4 linked regions of the Macaca mulatta genome follow. The protein of the gene in region 4 interacts with the protein of the main gene of each other region in a pairwise test. Links are inferred from orthologs where the notes say so. Each region holds a gene or a part of one and is shown on either strand. Other genes may lie near its edges.

What was found. The genes of interacting proteins can lie anywhere in the genome.
Region 1: the proteins of FKBP1B (region 4) and TRIM69 interact in binary tests that used the Homo sapiens proteins (3 or more experiments, as listed by UniProt). The two-hybrid records come from large-scale screens. The link is inferred for Macaca mulatta from reciprocal best matches to the Homo sapiens genes FKBP1B and TRIM69.
Region 2: the proteins of FKBP1B (region 4) and RYR2 interact in binary tests that used the Homo sapiens proteins (3 or more experiments, as listed by UniProt). The link is inferred for Macaca mulatta from reciprocal best matches to the Homo sapiens genes FKBP1B and RYR2.
Region 3: the proteins of FKBP1B (region 4) and REL interact in binary tests that used the Homo sapiens proteins (3 or more experiments, as listed by UniProt). The two-hybrid records come from large-scale screens. The link is inferred for Macaca mulatta from reciprocal best matches to the Homo sapiens genes FKBP1B and REL.

The regions. Positions count from the first base shown.
Region 1 is NC_133412.1:22,160,220-22,164,936, reverse strand, and holds part of TRIM69 (E3 ubiquitin-protein ligase TRIM69), read right to left. Parts: intron 3,163-4,717; coding exon 2,689-3,162; intron 1,694-2,688; coding exon 1,598-1,693; intron 1-1,597.
Region 2 is NC_133406.1:11,499,867-11,504,583, reverse strand, and holds part of RYR2 (ryanodine receptor 2), read left to right. Parts: intron 1-1,840; coding exon 1,841-2,049; intron 2,050-2,671; coding exon 2,672-3,024; intron 3,025-3,648; coding exon 3,649-3,763; intron 3,764-4,717. UniProt on the Homo sapiens protein: Cytosolic calcium-activated calcium channel that mediates the release of Ca(2+) from the sarcoplasmic reticulum into the cytosol and thereby plays a key role in triggering cardiac muscle contraction. Aberrant channel activation can lead to cardiac arrhythmia.
Region 3 is NC_133418.1:63,861,841-63,866,557, forward strand, and holds part of REL (proto-oncogene c-Rel), read right to left. Parts: intron 4,336-4,717; coding exon 4,231-4,335; intron 4,133-4,230; coding exon 3,920-4,132; intron 2,493-3,919; coding exon 2,424-2,492; intron 1,972-2,423; coding exon 1,903-1,971; intron 797-1,902; coding exon 24-796; 3' UTR 1-23. UniProt on the Homo sapiens protein: Proto-oncogene that may play a role in differentiation and lymphopoiesis.
Region 4 is NC_133418.1:100,989,894-100,995,225, forward strand, and holds the start of FKBP1B (peptidyl-prolyl cis-trans isomerase FKBP1B), read right to left. Parts: upstream 3,599-5,332; 5' UTR 3,461-3,598; coding exon 3,424-3,460; intron 1-3,423. UniProt on the Homo sapiens protein: Has the potential to contribute to the immunosuppressive and toxic effects of FK506 and rapamycin. PPIases accelerate the folding of proteins. It catalyzes the cis-trans isomerization of proline imidic peptide bonds in oligopeptides.

The DNA.
Region 1 (4,717 bases), on a different chromosome or scaffold from region 4:
AGGATTTCATCACCCCCAGCAATTGCATCATCTCCAAAATAACTTTTTATGCACCAGGCCCACTCAGACACTCCTATTGCAACAATTATTGGATCTCATTGAAACCTCCTATTCACCGATCCCTCCATTTCTATTCAGGAATTTCTACCTTCATGTCCTCTCTTATCTAGCTTGGATTCCATGGTCCATAATTATTATTGCACCCTTAAGATAGTCTTGGCTGGGCACAGTGGCTCATACCTGTAATTACAACACTTATGGAGGCCAAGCTGGGAGGATTGCTTAGAACAGGAGTTCAAGACTGGGCAACATAGTGAGACCCAGTCTCTCCAAAAATAAAATAATTAGCCAGGTGTGGCAAACTCGTCCCAGATACTCAGGAGGCTGAGGTGGGAAGATTTCTTGAGCCCAAGAGTTTGAGGTTACAGTAAGCCCATATCCACCTCTTCAATATCATCTTGCTTAGCATGTTACAGGTTTATTGGCCTTTTCTCTGTTTAACATAGGAGCTAACTTTCTGTCTCAGGACTTTTCCATATGCTGTTTTCTATTCCTAGAACATTCTTCTCCAGGCCATCTCCTTCATATTCCCACTCACCCAGTTCACTTGGGTGAGTTACTTATCCTTCAATTCTCAATTTTTAATAAGTGACTTCTTCAGAGAACACAACTCCCCCCAGTCTAGATTATGTTCTCCATTTATATGCTATCATCATACCCTATACTTTCATTTATAGTACTTATCACAGTTGTTATTTTATTATTACTGTTGGGACTGTTTAATTAACAGCTGTCTCCCATCCCCAATATCTAGTATTATGACCCACTCAATAAATAGTTGTTAAATGAATGAATGAACGCTCACACCAATAGGAACTTTTACAACAGGAACAAGATTTTCTGGAGACACCATTACTTCCGTATATCCATCTTCTTTCCCTGAGTCTACATATTTTTTCTTCCAGATGCCAAATACCTGAGAAGGCTCTTCTCCATAGAATAATGAATAAAGAAACAGAACGTCCAATTCAGCACCCCCAGCCTAGGGGCTGCTTTGCCAGATCTCTAGCCATTAATGTTGTCCTAGAGTGTCTATGAAGTTGAAAGTGAAGACAATAGCTTTATTTAGTTTGGAGGAAGCTAAGAAAGATCAAATCAGATGGAAAAAGCTTACAACCTTGGAGACCTAGTCCAGAGGTGTCTGGTTATAAACTCAAAGGAAATAAAGGTATTTCTTTGGACATAGCAATCTTTAGTGATTGATTTTTTTTTTTTGATGAATTCCTTTTTTTTTTTTTGCCATAGATAAAGCCAAAGACCAGACACATTTCAATCCCACAACAGTCACCTGGTGACTGAACCATCAAAAAGATCAGCATATTAGGGGAAAGGTTTATCTGCTCTGTTGGTCAGCTATTAGGAACCTACTCCACCACCATATTCCTTTCTACCCTACAGTCTCAGTTTTCCAATTCTATAGCCTAGGTACCATTTAGTGTGTTGATAATATGTGTTAGGCACCTTTGTACCCATAGCTGAAGTTACATGGAGGGTGTGTTCCAGTTCTATCTCATAACCCCTCTTTCTTGCTCCTCACCTTGTGAGCAGCAATAGCTTCCTTCTGCATGTTCCTCAGGGACTGAAGCTCCTTCAGAGTTGTCTCCAGTTGACCCTGTTGGATGGCAAGCTCCTCCTGGGAATACCAAATAGAATTAACCCACACTGACTCAGGAGATGAAGGACCATAAACGACATCTTCCCCAAGGCCCCAGTGTGCAAGAAAAAAGCAAGCTCTTGCTGCAAAAATCTTCCCCTTCCCTTGTATCATAGTTTTTGTCTCGTTCAAGAATTGTGGAAAAGAAAAGAAAAAAAAAAAAAAAGAGGCCAGGTGTGGCAGCTCACATCTGTAATCTCAGCACTTTGGGAGACTGAGATGGGAGGATCACTTGGGTCTAGGAGTTTGAGACCAGCCTGGGCAACATGGTGAGACCCCCATCTCAAAAAAAAAAAAAAAGAATTACAGCTTAAAACTTAGTTTTTCTCTCTTAATAGCTAGCTACAGGGGTTCGAAGAAAGGAATAGAACTTTACACATTTTCCACTCTAGTTATATGCTATTCTCAGAATCTATAATTTTACTTGTGTTGTTCTCACTTGGAACACTTGTTTCTTCCTTATGCCCTTCCAAATCCAAATGATTTCCCAGTTCAAGTCCTTTCCCTTTCTTTCACTATATGTCCCCTGACAATTTCGTCTTTCTCTAGTCATTTCAGAAATTCTAAACCCTTAAGAATTACAAATGTGACAAAATTTAACTTTTAATAGTAGACTATCTTACATTGTTTCTGTTGTTTTCTTCATTTTAAACTTAACCAATTTTTGAATTTTTTTATAATAAGAGCAATATCGTATATATCCGTGTTCTACACAGTGTTTAGCAGAGTGCTACCATGGCAGAGTTTAGGTACAGATTTAATTGAGGGAGTAAGCCAGGGCTCCTCCACTGTTCCTTTCCTATAAGCAGCAACTCTAGAAAAAGAACTTTGCAAGATACGTTGTACTTTCTGAGCAGTCTGGGTTTTCTAATCATCATTTGAATAAAGGGATGGGGTTCAAAGAAAGAAGAAGCCCTATAAAATATTTTTCCTAGTTTTTCTAAGGGATTGTTCAAGGCCCAGGGCTCACCCACCGTGAAGAAATGGACAGCATCAGAGATTTGCAGGAACTCCTTAGACTGCCCCACAGACAACCGAGCATCCTTGCATTGAAAGCAGATCAGTTTCCCATCTGGTTTACTGAACAGTTTCAGGTTCTCTCCATGCTCTGGGCACTGTGGATGGCCCTTGAGTAGGGGTAACTTCTTAATCTTCTCTACCAACTTGTCCAGTACAAGGTTGAATGTACAGTTGCTATACTGACATAGCATCTTGCAGTCAGGACAGAATGTTTCCTTTGCTTGCAGCCTCCAAAAGTCTTGGATACAGGCTTGACAGAAGTTGTGGCCACAGCTTAGCATCAGTGGGTCATGGAACCAATCGTTGCACAGTGGGCAGTGTAGCTCCATAGTAATATCTTGTATCACCACTTTAGAAGGTAGGTGGGCGATTGAATCGTTAATTTCAACATAGTTGCCTGGATCGATGTTGGAGGAGTTGGAGGATACCTTTAGAAAAGAACAGCTAGAATGAGTTTATCTTTCTTTTTGCCCATTTTAACACTCCAGGATGATGGGCTCCATTCCTAAAGGAGCTGAAAATTGGTACAACTAAAGTAAAAGCACATAATCTGTCCTTTGAAAGTGAACCAGTAAATTGAGTGTTTTCTGACATTATGGCATATGATGCTATTTAAACTTTAATGAAGAATCAAAGTAGAGGAAAAAACAGTACTAAGTCAAAGAAATGTACTTTGTTGTACATCTCTCTCTTTACCCACTTTCCCCATGTATCTGTTGAAAGTTTTATTTTCAGCTTCTGCTCTACTAGTTATTACCTTTATTCTATTTTTGTTTTCTAGAAATTATGTATGAAGAATTGGAAAATCAATCAGATTTCTCAGTCAGTAGTATTATATTATCAACCATCCAGGGTCCTCTTCACTCCTTTTTAAAAAACACATTTCAGGCCGGGCGCGGTGGCTCACGCCTGTAATCCTAGCACTTTGGGAGGCCAAGGTGGGCGGATCATGGGGTCAGGAGATCGAGATCATCCTGGCTAACACAAGTGAAACCCAGTCTCTACTAAAAATATAAAAAATTAGCCAGGCATGGTGGCGGGCGCCTGTAGTCCCAGCTACTCAGGAGGCGAGGCAGGAGAATGGCATGAACCCAGAGGCAGAGCTTTCAGTGAGCCGAGATTGTGCCACTGCGCTCCAGCCTGGGCAACAGAGCAAGACTCTGTCTCAAAAAAAAAAAAAAAAAAAAAAAAAAAAACCACACACATTTCAGAAACATAAATACAGAAGCTGGCGCAGTGACTCATACCTGTGGTCCCAACTACTCGGGAAAGGAAACTAGGAAGTACCTCAAAGTCATATAAATAAGTAGAGACCAGTGAAAAAGTAGCTACATAGGTAAAGTCCAATAATGCAGTTTTTGGTTTCTAACTCCTCTTTTTCCCCTATTCAATTTAAAAGACAAACGCACAAAACAATAGTTATGTGTGTTAATGGATATGCAATGTGTAAAGAGATAATTTGTGATAATAACAACAAAAAGGAGAGAACAGAGCTGAAAAGGAGCAGTTTTTATAGTAAAAATTTTTGCCTTGTACTATTAAAACTAAGTTGGCATTAATTCACCCTTGATCATTATAAAGTTGACTAATTATAACCCTCAGGTAAATACTAAAGAAAAAACTACTAAGCAATATAAAGAAAAAGAAAAGAGAAAGGAATCAAAATGTTATGCTAGAAAAAAATCAATTAATCACAAAAAAGGGAAGTAATGAAAGAATTTAGAAACAAAAAAGCACATAGAGAAAATAAATAACAAAATGGCATAGGTAAGTCTTTCCTTATCAGTAATTACTTTAGATGAAATAGATTAACTTCTGACTGAAAGGCAGAGATTAGGAAAATGGATAAAAATAATATGAACCGGCCGGGCGCGGTGGCTCAAGCCTGTAATCCCAGCACTTTGGGAGGCCGAGACGGGCGGATCACGAGGTCAGGAGTTCGAGACCATCCTGGCTAACATGGTGAAACCCCGTCTCTGCTAA
Region 2 (4,717 bases), on a different chromosome or scaffold from region 4:
CCGAGAAGAAAACCTAGGCAATACCATTCAGGACATAGGCATGGGCAAGGACTTCATGTCTAAAACACCAAAAGCAATGGCAACAAAGTCAAAATTGACAAATGGGATCTAATTACACTAAAGAGCTTCTGCACAGCAAAAGAAACTACCATCAGAGTGAACAGGCAACCTACAGAATGGGAGAAATTTTTTGCAATCTACTCATCTGATAAAGGGCTAATATCCAGAACCTACAAAGAACTCAAACAAATTTACAAGAAAAAACCCCATCAAAAAGTGGGCAAAGGATATGAATAGACACTTCTCAAAAGAAGACATTCATACAGCCAACAGACACATGAAAAAATGCTCATCATCACTGGCCATCAGAGAAATGCAAATCAAAACCACAATGAGGTACCATCTCACACCAGTTAGAATGGCCGATCATTAAAAAGTCAGGAAACAACAGGTGCTGGAGAGGATGTGGAGAAATAGGAACATTTTTACACTGTTGGTGGGACTGTAAACTAGTTCAACCATTGTGGAAGACGGTGTGGTGAATCCTCAAGGATCTAGACTAGAAATACCATTTGACCCAGCCATCCCATTACTGAGTATATACCCAACAGATTATAAATCATGCTGCTGTAAAGACACATGCACACGTATGTTTATTGCAGCACTATTCACAATAGCAAAGACTTGGAACCAACCCAGATGTCCATCAGTGACATATTGAATTAAGAAAATGTGGCACATATACACCATGGAATACTATGCAGCCATAGAAAAGGATGAGTTCGTGTCCTTTGTAGAGACATGGATGCAGCTGGAAACCATCATTCTCAGCAAACTATCGCAAGGACAGAAAACCAAACACCGCACGTTCTCACTCATAGGTGGGAATTGAACAATGAGATCACTTGGACATAGTAAGGGGAACATCACACACTGGGGCCGGTTGTGGGGTGGGGGAGGGGTGAAGGATAGCATTAGGAGATATACCTAATGTAAATGAGTAGTTAATGGGTGCAGCACACCAACATGGCACATGTATACGTATGTAACCTGCACATTGTGCACATGTACCCTAGAACATAAAGCATAATTTAAAAAAAGAAATATTTTATTGGTTTTTGCTCTATTGCTCATTGCTATTACATCTAAATAAAAGATTATATATATAATTTATGCATTATAAATATATCTCATGCATAAATACATGCTTCATACATTAAACATGTATTTTTCCCCCATGCTTAGATCCAGTTTATTCCAGAAAAAAAAAAGCCAAAATTTTCTTCAAAGATCAAAAGCAACTATCAGTAGATGGAAAACTTTAAAATTTTTTCCTCCAATTTTTTTTTTTCTTGAGCTATGTATGAAGAAATCTATAGCTCAGACTGTGTCTGGTGTTAGTACGTATCAAGCTCTTTAGCCAGAAGGAAGAGCAAGGCCAATGAACCACATCCCTGGTACTTAGTTTCTTCTCACTTTCCCTGTATGAGAGAGTGCATGCACTGCTCAGCAAGGAGACTGCAGGGCAGGGATCTCTAGAATCCCCGGAGGACCAGGGGCTGCAGAGCAGTTACTTTGTCTTACAGAATGAAGTCTGAGATGAGAGAAGGGATTTATCTAGGGCCCACAGCTAGTAAATTATAATGTCAAGATCAAATCCTGGTTTTCTCACCCTTACAGGTAATATTTAATGTCATTGTTCCCTTTATTACACTACTTTTTTCACCCTAGGGTGACAGCTCTCTCAAAGTTCAGTCCTGGAACAGTATGTGTGATAATTCCATACTAACAGGATCATATAGTAATGGTACTAAAGCTTTTAATTTTTTTTTCTTCCCAGGATTCATACCTGTGTGTAGCCTTGGAGTGGCTCAAGTGGGCAGGATGAACTTTGGAAAGGATGTCAGCACCTTGAAATACTTCACCATCTGTGGCTTACAAGAGGGCTATGAACCATTTGCCGTTAATACAAACAGGGATATTACTATGTGGCTGAGCAAGAGGCTTCCTCAGTTTCTCCAAGTTCCATCAAACCATGAACATATAGAGGTTTGCTTTTTCTTTCAAAATCAGGTCATTTCTAAAAAGCAGGAAAAGAATATCTTTATACATAGGAACTTCTGCTTAGACAATTATTGTGACTTACTTAAAATGATGACCTTACACAGAAGTGGAATCTAAGCAAAGATGGCACTTTATACCAGCTGTCAGTGGATGGGAAACTTAAATTTTTGCTTTCAATTCTTTTTTTTCCCTTGAGCTATGTGTGAAGAAGTCTGTAGCTCAGACTGTGTGTGGGGTTTGTACGCATCAAGGTCTTTAGTTAGAAGAAAGATCAAGGCAAAGGGAGCCACATCCATTCTAATAAGCTACGTTACAAGAAGCTTATTAGAATGAGGAAAAATACTTTCCTTTTTATGTGTGGGCAATGTCAGGCCGAATCTGAATATATAGAATTATAAGATAAATTTCCGAAACCGTCTTTAGAGACAGAAGCAGAACTCTATGACTATATCCATAGCACAGTAATCTGTTTAATTATCTCTTACAAAATGATGCCATGCGTGGACTGATTTGGGATTCTGAAAACGTGATGTGCCTTAGGCATCTTTAGAATCAGGAAATCGACAACGGTGATTGGAATATGACCTATTGCTTCTTCATTTGCTAGGTGACCAGAATAGACGGCACCATAGACAGTTCCCCATGTTTAAAGGTCACTCAGAAGTCTTTTGGTTCTCAGAACAGCCACACTGATATCATGTTCTATCGCCTGAGCATGCCGATCGAGTGCGCGGAGGTCTTCTCCAAGACTGTGGCTGGAGGGCTCCCTGGGGCTGGCCTTTTTGGGCCCAAGAATGATTTGGAAGATTATGATGCTGATTCTGACTTTGAGGTTCTGATGAAGACAGCTCATGGCCATCTAGTGCCCGATCGTGTTGACAAAGACAAAGAAGCTACCAAGCCAGAGTTTAATAACCACAAAGATTATGCCCAGGAAAAGCCCTCTCGTCTGAAACAAAGGTTACTATTTTATACACTGTGATTTTAAGTTTGTAGTTAAGTGAGGAGGGTTACAGTCCAGAGTAAAGGGTCTCCTAGTGTAAGGTTTTTCCTCCCCCTCCTCCTCCTCCCCCTCCCCCTCCTCTTTGTGCAAAGGATTCTATAAGGAAAAATTAAGCAACCTGTTAGTCATCTAATTTGTTAGCGTAGATGCTATCTATCTCAATAGTTATTTTTTAAGATGTCTATGTTTACATTCTTGCCTGAAACTTGCAGAGTATTTTCTCCAAATAGTATTTTTTTATGATAAAGGCGGCAAGTTATTTTAACATCCTTTCTTATACTAAATCAGATTTTCTCAGTCTCAGCACTATCGACAGTTTAGGCCAGACAATTCTTTGTTGAGGAAACACCTTGGGCACTGAAGGATGCTGAGCAGCATCCTGACCTCCACCCACTAGATGCCAGTAGCACTCCATCCCCCACACTGTGAGAACCGAAAACATATATCTCCAGATATTCCCAGATGTCCCCCAGGGAGCAAAATCGCCCAGGTTTAAGGCAACTCAATTGATTCTATGCTCATATTTGAAGTAGACAGAACATTTTAATGTTGCTTATTGTTAGTCCTCTAAAATATTTCAGATTTTTGCTTAGAAGAACAAAGCCAGATTACAGCACGAGCCATTCTGCAAGACTCACCGAAGATGTCCTTGCTGATGATCGGGATGATTATGATTTCTTGATGCAAACGTCCACGGTATGAGGTTGCAGCTTTTGTCATTTATTTCTATTTGTCACTCATTATGCTTTACATCTCAAATAACACATACTGATTCATCATACTTAGTAATATTATTTTTTAAATGTCTGTTTCTATTTTGGGATATATTTTGGGGACTGAAAGTTTGAAAAAAGTTTATGTATTATGATAGATATTATGCAATAAAAGAGCTATTTTAGGAAAAATATTTTTAATGGCATGCATAATCTTAATTTTGCTATTCTGTTTCTTGACAAAATTTTAAGTTGCCCTTGAATTTTTCAACTACTTTCTTCATCTTACTGAATTGTCTAAAGGAAGATCAATTATCATAATTTGTGAGAGGTCAAGCTTTTGCACTCTTCCATTTTAAATTCTCAAGGCTGCTTCTCCTAAAATGCTACATTGAAAAAATATTTAGTTGTGTTCATTGTAGAGTGCTCCCATATTTTAGTTTGATGTTCACATGTTCTGAACTATTTCAAAATGAGTTTAGGCTGGGCACAGTGGCTCAAGCCTGTAATCCCAGTACTTTGGGAGGCTGAGGTGGATGGATCACCTGAGGTCAGGCGTTCGAGACCAGCCTGGCCAGCATGGTGAAACCCTGTCTCTATTAAAAATATAAAAATTAGGGGAGTGTGGTGGTGGGCACCTGTAATCCCAGCTACTAGGGAGGCTGAGGCAGGAGAATTGCTTGATCCCAGGAGATGGAGGTTGCAGTGAGCCGACACGGTGTCGCTGCACTGCAGCCTGGGCGACAGAGTGAGACTCCGTCTCAAAAAAAAAACCAGTGAATTTAAAGTGTCAAAATGTTATATGTCAGAGAAAGGAAAGGCCAAGAATGTGCAAAAAGGTGGGTGACAAGTATAAAAACCCAAACATTGGCCAGGTGCACTGACTCATGCCTGTAATCCCAGCACTTTGGGAGGCCAAGGCAGGTGGATCACCTGA
Region 3 (4,717 bases), about 37 Mb from region 4:
TAAAAGGATTTAAATCTTGCAAGTTATACTTGAAAAAATTCATATGGAAAAGAGTCACTCAATTGCTCATTTTGCATACTGCCAATACCTGAATACTGACTATCTTGAACAAAACTATGACTGTTTGGATTAGTACTGTTTGATGGGCCCGACTCATTTATCATGCTGTTATCTGCACAACTGAAGTCAGATCCCTCAAATGCATCTGATTGTGAAACAAAAACAGTAGTATTGGAATTGGCACCTGCCGACATACTGGAAGAGGACATCTGATGGAGCTGTCTCAAGTCTCTTGGGTCTAACACTGAATTACATGAGGGGTTTTCAAGATTCATGCTCAGAAGTCTTGGATTATCCGTCTCTTCCATGCTATCATTGCTGGTTGCCATCATATTCACAGAACAATTAGACAGCATGTTGTGATCAGAAATACCATATAAGTCTGCTGGTGGCATGGATGACGCTTCCATTCCAACTATGTCATCGGCATTGTTATAAATGCAAGCGTTAGAAGCATTTAAATCATTCCCAATAGGTATTCTCAGGAATGGTGGGATACCTTGCGAATTAGAAGGAAGTGTCCCTGTTGAAAAACTACTCAGTGGGTTTGTATTGCCTGAGCGTGGGGTGGGGTGGGCCACTGATGACCAGCTTGAAGAAGGAAGAGGTGTCATTGAGGCATGATGTGACAATCCACTTGAGATGGGCCCAGGTGAGGGATAGTAGGATTCTGCTTGACTTGAAACCCCTGTAGGCATTTCTCTCACAACTGCATCATGAGAAAACAAGTTTGGTTCTGTGGGAGGAAAAATTTGTTTTACAAAATTAAAAGGAACAAAATTATAAAAAGTATTTCTAAATTAAAATTGCATAAGCACACAAATATATATAAAGAAAAATGTCAGGGAAACCAATGTAACATTTCAAATAAAAAAGTGTTAAAAGCACTAAAATTATTACACGAATCCAAAATGAAATTCTGTAACATACATACCATTTTACAAATACAGGTAAAATGATTTTTGCAAGTTACTTTGGCATATGTAATGTCACTCCAGTTAAATATGAAAATCTAGTTTCTGAGGCTCTATAAAGGTATTTTTGAAAACTAAAAGATAAATATTAGAATTACAATTAATGGGACTCCAAATAGCCAAAATCATCTCTTAGGAGAAAATGGAAGGATGGAGAAAACACTCATTAGGGATAAGAAAATACATACAACTTTTAAGATATATTACGACAGAACCCTAAGAGACTATAAAATTCACAGTCAGAAAAAATTACAGAAAAAATTAATTCTGTATTTATTTACATATTATACAAATGCTTTATGAACTAAACCAGGAAAAAGCACTGATTTAAGAATGTACATGGGGGAAAAAGACTTCTAATTAGCCCTTGGTTGAATTATCTAAACTAGGAATTGGTAATTTTTTTTTTCTGTAAAAAGTCAGATTGTAAATATTTTAGGCTTTGTGAGCTATATACAGCCTCTGTTCGAACTATTCAACCCTGTTACCATAGTGTTATAAAAAAAAAAGCAGTTTAGAGATAATATTTAATCAAATATTCATAGCCATGTTCCAGTAAAATTTTATTTATAAAAATAGGTAACTAACCAAATCAATAACATTTTTTTCCATGACGCAATGTAACTAATAAAATCACTACCATATGAATGACATGTAATTTCTTGAACAATAAATTCCAAAAACACGATTGGTTTCTAACACAACCTTCAGAAGTCATGCTTAATTTATTCTATACTGAAAGCATGAAAAATTTGGAGAGAAAATTTTCAAAGAAGCAGTTATTCATTCCTAAAAACAGAATTCCAATATATTGTGCACAGCACTGGTCTTTCTGATCACAAGAAATATGCTATAGGAAATAAAATACCTTTTTTGAAGTATCTTCCTTCTCCAATTGAACCGAGGAGACCAGGTCTTGGTCTCTCAGGAAAATTAACTGTTAGGATAAAGTTTTTCCATTATTAAATGGCATCTGAAAAATAACATTATCAGTTAAAATCTGAAAAACTGGCAGGGAGTGGTGGCTCCCACCTGCACTTTGGGAGGCCGAGGTGGGTGGATCACCTGAGGTCAGGAGTTCAAGACCATCCTGGTCAACAAGGCAAAACCCCGTTTCTACTAAAAATACAAAAATTAGCCGGGTGTGGTGGCACACACCTGTAATCTCAGTTACCCGGAAGGCTGAGGCAGAATTGTTGAACCTGCAAGGGGAGAGGTTGCAGTGAGTTGAGACTGCCCCACCGCACTCCAGCCTGGGTGACAGACAGAGACGCTGTCTCAAAAAACAAACAAAAACAAAACAAAACAAAAATAATAAAATTTGAAAAACTGAATACAGTAAATAAAACAAAACCTATTTAAATATGAATCGATCCAAAATATTCTTACCGTGATCCTGGCACAGTTTCTGGAAAAGCAGAGTTGTCTTTTGTTTCTTTGCTTTATTGCCATAAGTATCTGATTAGAAAGAAACCAGGAAAGCAGACAAAAAATTATAGGATTGTTTCCTCTCCTTTAATAAACAAATATTTTATTCACATATAGAAAATGTTTTCAATAAATACATATGTAATTCAGATTAAATAAGTATTATAGAATACGTCCCAAATCAGTAGTATCAGTAGAAAAGGATATTTTTCTCTTAGTAAAAAATTGTTTAAAGTAATCCCAGCACTTTGGGAGGCTGAGGCAGGTGGATCACTTGAGCCCAGGAGTTTGAGGCCAACCTGAGCAACATGGCAAAACCCTGTCTCCATAAAAAACAGAAAAACTGGCGGGGTGCAGTGGCTCATGCCTGCAATCCCAGCACTTTGGGAGGCTGAGGCAGGTGGATCACCTGAGTTCAGGAGCTTGAGACCAGCTTGGCCAACATGGTGAAACCCCATCTCTACTAAAAATAATACAAAATTAGTTGGGTGTGGTGGCACATGCCAGTAGTCCCAGCTAATCAGGAGGCTGAGACAGGAGAACTGCTTGAACCCAAGAGGCAGAGGCTGCAGTGAGCCGGGATTACGTCACTGTACTCCAGCCTGGGCAAGACAGAGTGAGACTCCATCTCAAAACAAAAAAACAAAAAAATCCCACCAAAATTAGCCAGGTGTGGTGGTGTGCACCTGTAGTCCCAGGTACTCAGGAGGCTGAGGTGGGATGATCACCTGAGCACAGGAGGTTGAAGTTCTGGTAAACCATGATCATGCCACTGTACTCCAGCTTGAGTGACAGAGTGAGACCCTGTCTCAAAAAAACCCAAAACAAACTGTTCAAAATATTCATCTTGTTTTCTTATCACACAAGTCAGTAATGTCAACTAGTGCAATAAGGTTTGATAAGAAACCAATATAGAGACTATTCTCTGAGTGGTAAGTGCACAAGGACTAAAATAGACCTTCAAAAATAAAACAGAAATTTTAGTAAGCAGTTTAGATACTTTGAAATTATTCCATCCTAATCAAACCTCTTTCTGAAGAAAGAGATGCAGAGACAAGTCTAGCCAACATGGTGAAACCCTGGCTCTACTAAAACTACAAAAGTAGCCTGGCGTGGTGGCACGTGCCTGTATAGTCCCAGCTACTCGGGAGGCTGAGGCAGGAGAATCGCTTGAACCCGGGAGGTGGGGGTTGCAGTGAGCTAAGATTGTGCCACTGCACTCTAGCCTGGGTGACAGTGAGACTCTGTCTCAAAGAAAAACGAAAAACAAAAAAACAAAACAAAACCAAAAAAACAAAGAAATGCAAAGAGCATAAAGAAAAAACCCAACAGAAAGCTTCCAGGAAAAGAAACATAAATTGTGAATATACATAACTGTACTCAAATGAATCTTACAAGATGTTATTAGCAGGACCACTTTAAGAAATATATAAATTATCACCAGCAAAATGTCATACCTTTTTCATCTGGCAGATATCTAAAATCCATAGATTCACTAACTTCCTGGTCAGAAGGTCTCCGCAACTGCATTTTTACTGTTACGGGTTCTGTGATAGCTTTGCAATATGGCGGAGTTTTGAAAACAATGGCTACTTGACGGTGTACATCAGCTTGTGAAAAGATGCCTTTTGCTTCCCAATCGTTCAACACAAAACGAACTTCTATGTCATCTAGTGAATAAGAAACCAAAAAAATAATAATGGGAAAACAAAGTAACTGCATCTATTAATCTAAAATTTATTCTAAATTCAATGAAATAAATAAATACCTTTCTGAACTTTGTCGCAAAGTAGAAATATTTCATCTCCTCCTCTGACACTTCCACAATTCTTGTTTACACGACAAATCCTTAATTCTGCAGTATTTGGCGCACCTAAATAAAAAGGATTTTCAAAAAAACGAGTTGCTACCTTAGTAATATTTTATTTCTTTTTGCAGGGGAGAATTTGAGGAAAACCATATACAGAATAAAAGTTTTAGTGTATAAAGAACACTAAATACATTAATCATCTATGTATCTGTCCACTTCCTTTCTAACTGCTTTACTTCAGACTTTGTGGCTTCATTTCTAGGTAATGACATATTCTTTAATTACATCTCCCTGCTTCTAAATTCTGATTCTGCCAGTCAATCCTATGCACTGTCACCAGATTAATCTTCATAAATCATGACCATATCTCTATGGCAATACAATTTTCCCTACGGCAATACATCTCCCTATGGCAATACAGCTTTCATGCTTCCTATTATGTGGC
Region 4 (5,332 bases):
CTTAAAAAAAAAAAAAAAAATTCTTTTCAATTAGCCAGGTGTGATGCTGCACACCTATAGCCCCAGCTACTCAAGAGACTGAAGTGGAAGGATTGTTTGAGCCCAGGAGGTCAAGGCTGCAGTGAGCTGTGTTCATGCTACTGCACTCTAGCCTGGGTGACAGAGTAAGACCCTGTCTCAACAAACAAACAAAACAAAACAAAACAAAACCACAAATATTTACTGAGTACCTATGGGGTGCCATGCCTGTGCCTGATCACAGGGATACAGCAGTGAACACTACAAACAAGATCTCTATCCCTGTTCTTTTAGAGTTTACTTTTTTTTTTTTGTAAGAGTAGGGGTCTCAGTGTGTCACCCAGGCTGGAGTGCAATAGCATGATCTTGGCTCAGTGCAGCCTTGACCTCATGGGCTCAAGCAATCTTTCTGCCTCTGCTTTCTGAGTAGCTGGGACTGCAAGTGCATGCTGCCATGCCCAGCTAATTAAAAAAAAAAAATTTTGTAGAGACAGGGTCTTGACATGTTGTCCAGGCTGGCCTTGAACTCCTGGGCTCAAGAGCTCCTACCATCTCAACCTCCCAAAGTGTTGAGATTATAGGCATGAGCCACCACACCTGCCATGGACTTTATATTCTAATGGACAGAGACAATACTTAAATATGCAAAACGATTATGGATTATGATGAATACTCTAAAGAAAACACACACAATGATGTATTAAAGGGAGATGCAGTGGGACAGACCATTTCAGACAGAGTGGTCCAGGATGGCCTCTTGAAGAAGGTGCCCCTGGAGCTAGGACTTGAAGGATGAGCAAAATACTGGGAATTAGCACTTGGGGAAGGAGTAACAAGTGCACAGAATCAATCCATTTGCAGCGAGCAAGGAGGTTAAGTGGAAAGAAGGGAGGGAGGACAGAGGTGGGAAGGAGATGGATCATACAGGGCTTGCAGAGCCGGATTTCATACTAAGTGCAATAGGAAACCACTGGAGGGTTTTAAGCCAGAGAATGACATAATCCGAATTAAGATTTTATAACATCACTCTGACTGCTATGTGTAGGATGGACAGTAAGGCGTCTGTTGCAATAATCCAGACAAGAAATCAATGATAGCTTGATTTAAGGTGGTGGCAGCAGAGAAGAGAGTGAAATAGACTGGAGACATATTTTGGAAGCAGAGCTGACAGGGCATGCAATCAAATTGGAAATGGGGTCCAGGATGAGGACAAAGGAGACAACAAGAACGATGCTTGGGTTTTCTGTTTGGGCAACTGGATGAATAGTGGAACTATTTCCTGAGATAGGGAAGACAGGAGGAACAGATTTGTGCGGGTGGCAATCTTGAGATGCCTATTAGACATCTGAGTTTATATTGCAAGTAGGCAGATGAAGAGTCTGCACTGGAGATATAAATTTGGCTGGAATTTAAAGCTATGGGGCTAGATAACAAAGCCTAAGGAAGGCTAACCACAGAGCCAACATTTAGAGGACTTTATGGGAGCCTGGAGGAGGGAGCAGCTAACTGACTGCAGAAGTCAAGGAAAATATCATAGAGGAGAGAATGGCGAAGCCAGGTCTTGAAAGACAAGTAAGAATTTGCCAGAGGAAGTAAAAAAACACCATCTGGGAAGAGGGAATGACATGTAACATGTTCAAAGGCCTTCAGTCCAGCAATAGCGGGGACCCTGTCTGTTTCAACGCTGTCACCTTAGGGCCTAGCACACACGTTCAATAAATATTTGCTGAATGAGTGGTGTGTTCGACAACTTGCAGGCAGCTTGGGAAAGCTGGAGAAAAAGTTGGTGGTGGGCTCAGGACAGGTGGTGAGAGATGAAGCTCTAGTGTGGAAGATGAGAATAGACCACAGCACCAAAGGCCCCTCTGCCTGGGGGAGAGGGAAGAATCATTTAAAACATCTTCTACCTGAGGGAGGGGCATGGTCAAATATGCATTTGTTTTCTTCTTCTTCTTCTTATTTTTGAGACGAGTCTCGCTCTGTCACCCAGGCTGGAGTGCAGTGGCACAATCGGCTCACTGCAACCTCTGCCTCCTGGGTTCAAGCCATTCTCCTGCCTCAGCCTCCCCAGTAGCTGGGATTACAGGCATGCACCACCACGCCTAGCTAATTTTTGTATTTTTAGTAGAGACAGGTTTCACCATGTTGGTCAGGCTGGTCTTGAACTCCTGACCTTGTGATCCACCCGCCTCGGCCTCCCAAAGTGGTGGGATTACAGGCATGAGCCACCACATTTTAAGAAGAGTCTTCAGGCTATGATGTAGAAAGGGAGTGAATATGAGATTGGGGATGAGATTGAAGGCAGGGAGGAGAGGCTGAAGATGGGGAGATTAGCTCAGTGGCTGCTGGGGGATGAAAAGGCCTCAGGGAGACGCTTTCTGGGACCCAGCATCAAGGTTTCCTGCGTGGGCAAAGAATCCTGTACCCCAGGGGATATCCAAAGTAGTGGTTGGGATTGGACAAGGAGCATGGCCTGGAGCCAAGAAGTTCTCCAATTTCCTGGGCAGGGGAGCTGTTCATATTAATAATATCTGATATGAAGTTTGCCCATCAAACCCTGCAGACAATGGGAGCTTTGGTATGAATTAAATTTCAAGAAATAAAGAAATGGCTATTCCTTGCACACCCAGACCCAGTAATACAAGGGCTTGGGAAAGTGAGATAAGGAAGGGGGATGAGGAGGATCACTTAGGGGAGAAGGTGGGAAGCGCAAGTTCTGTTTTGGATTTGCTGACTAGGGAGCACCTTGGGACCTCCAGGGAGAGGTCCGGCCGCAGGTCGCAGGGCTGGGCTTAGAAGCTTCAATGTGGAGGCCATGGGAGTGGACAGGGTGGCCAGGGAGTCTGAACGCGGCGGGAGGATAAAGCGAGATCCGGAAGCCGGCAAGGGAGCGCTTCCCCCTTTCCCAGCCTGGGTCTGTCCCCACAGCCGCTCACAGCCCGGCCCACAGGGAAGCGACCGACAGGAGGCCCGGCGGGGGACGCGCTAGGAGGAGGTCCCGGAGCAGCGGAGACCCGAGAGCAGGTCCTGCTTTCCAGAGCTCGCCGAGCAGGGCAGGGAAAGCTAAGCCGAAACCCAGCCTGGGGTATCAGCAGCAGCGGATAACCGAACGGTAGCAGCGGCGACAGGAGCAGCCCGGGGTGGTGGGCCGCAGACCCCCGGCTCCGGGCCGCAGACCCCCGCCTCCAGGCTGCCACCTACATTCCCCTAGGTGAGTCGCGGAAGAGGATGGTGGAGGATGGTCTCCTAGACCCCCAAGAATCCCGTCCGGGGTCTCCGCCTGCCCTCCGCATCCAGCCCCCCGACCCTTCAGCACCCTCCGCGCCACCTCCGAATCAGACCCCCGCCCTCCGGGCTCCGCCCGGGGACCCCTCCCCTCCCCCGGCTCCGGAGGGAGCCCGGTACCGTCTCCGGGGGAGATGGTCTCGATCTCCACGCCCATAGCGGTCCCACAGGCCCCGCCTCCGGGGGTCCCTGCTGCTGCCCGACCCCGGCTCTGCTCCGGTCCCGGCCCCGCAGTCGCTCCGGCTCGCCTCCCCGCCGCCACTGCAGAGCCAGAGGAGGTGCGGCTGGAGTCGGGACCTGCGCGGGGAGGGGCCACTGGGAAGGGGGCGGCGGGGCGGAGCCGCGCGGAAAGGTGGGGTCGGCCGGGGCGGGGCCCGGGGGAAGGGACCCCGCCCGGCTGTTAGCGAGCCTGGCCCCTCCTGACGACATTAACCCGCTGACCGGGAAGCATGGTAAGCACAACCACATCCTCCATCCATCCATTCATTCGCCCATCCGTCCAACACACATTTATTTAGCATCTAATCTGTACTAAGCTCTGGGAAGTCAACCCGGTCCTACAGACTTGTGGGGGGTGGGGGGCAGAAGGGGCAAAGGCCGGCAATTAAACCATTATTTTATTTTTGTTTTTTTTTTTTTTTAGAGAGAGAGGATCTTGCTCTGTCGCCCAGGCTGGAGCCCAGTGGCGCGATCATAGCTCACAGCAACCTCGAACTCTTAGGCTCAAGCGATCCTTCTGCCTCAGTCTCCCAAGTAGCTGGGACTAGAGGCTCGAGCAACCACGCCCAGCTAATTTTTTATTTTTTGTAGAAACAGGGTCTCGCTGAGTTGCTATCTAATGAAACCATCACTTTAATTAGATGCGCTCAGTGCCGTGCTGTTCAGAGCGTTGCGGAAGCACCGAAGAGGTTCCTACCCTCGCTAGGCGTCCTGGATCTTTAGGAGCAGAGCTCGGGGAGGGAGGGAGAACACCAGTCATTGCTGACTCTCCCCCATACCCTTAAACCCCTGTTCGCCATCTCATGTAGTTTTGCTCGACGCACATTTGTTGGGTACTCAATTTTCAAGGCAAAGAAATGCGCCCTGGGGATACCAATTGAATTAAGACAGAATGGCTGTTTTCCAGGTACTAAATCTGAGAGAGATGGGGACACAGAGTTACCGCATGGAGTGATTAGTGCTGTGGAATGAATGAATGAATATGTAAATGAATTCTACTTTGAGTTCCTCCTCCACCTAAAAAGACAATCAGGAATCTAGAAAAATATTTTTTGGAGGAGGTAATATTTGTTTGAAGGGTAATTGGGACTTTTAAAACTTTTTTTTCCGCTCGTTATTACCTGCATTGTTCCAAAAATTGATGTGAGGCCGGGCATATCAATTTTTGGAACAATGGCTCACACCTGTAATCTCAACACTGTGGGAGACCGAGGCAGGAGGATTGCTTGAGCCCAGGAGTTCAAGACTAGCCTGGGTAACATAGCAAGATCCCGTCCCTCTCTCTCTCTCTCTCTCTTTTTTTTTGAGACAGAATCTTCACTCTGTCGCCAGGCTGGAATGCAGTGGCACAATCTCGGCTCACTGCAACCTCCGCCTCCCGAGTTCAAGCGATTCTCGTGCCTCAGCCTCCCAAGTAGCTGGGATTACAGGCGTGAGCTACCAGCGTCCGGCTAATTTTTAAATTTTTAGTAGAGACCGGGTTTCACCATGTTGGCCAGGCTGGTCTTGAACTGCGGATCTCAGGTTATCCGCCCGCCTCGCCTCCCAAAGTGCTGGGATTACAGGCACGCCATCTTTATTTTTAAAAAAAGAAAAGAAAAGAAAAAGAAAAACATAAAAACTGATGTGAAGGTATGATTCTGCTAAGTGGCACTGGAAGATAGGCATGGGGAGAAAAGCCTGGCAAACGGGCCCAGAATGAACCCCAAGGGTGTTCTTCCTCCATTTCCCCATCCCCACTCTCCCGGATGCTTAGATCCCAGATGAGGTTGTCTGCATCCCTGAAGGTGGACTGGCTGTGTTGTTCAAG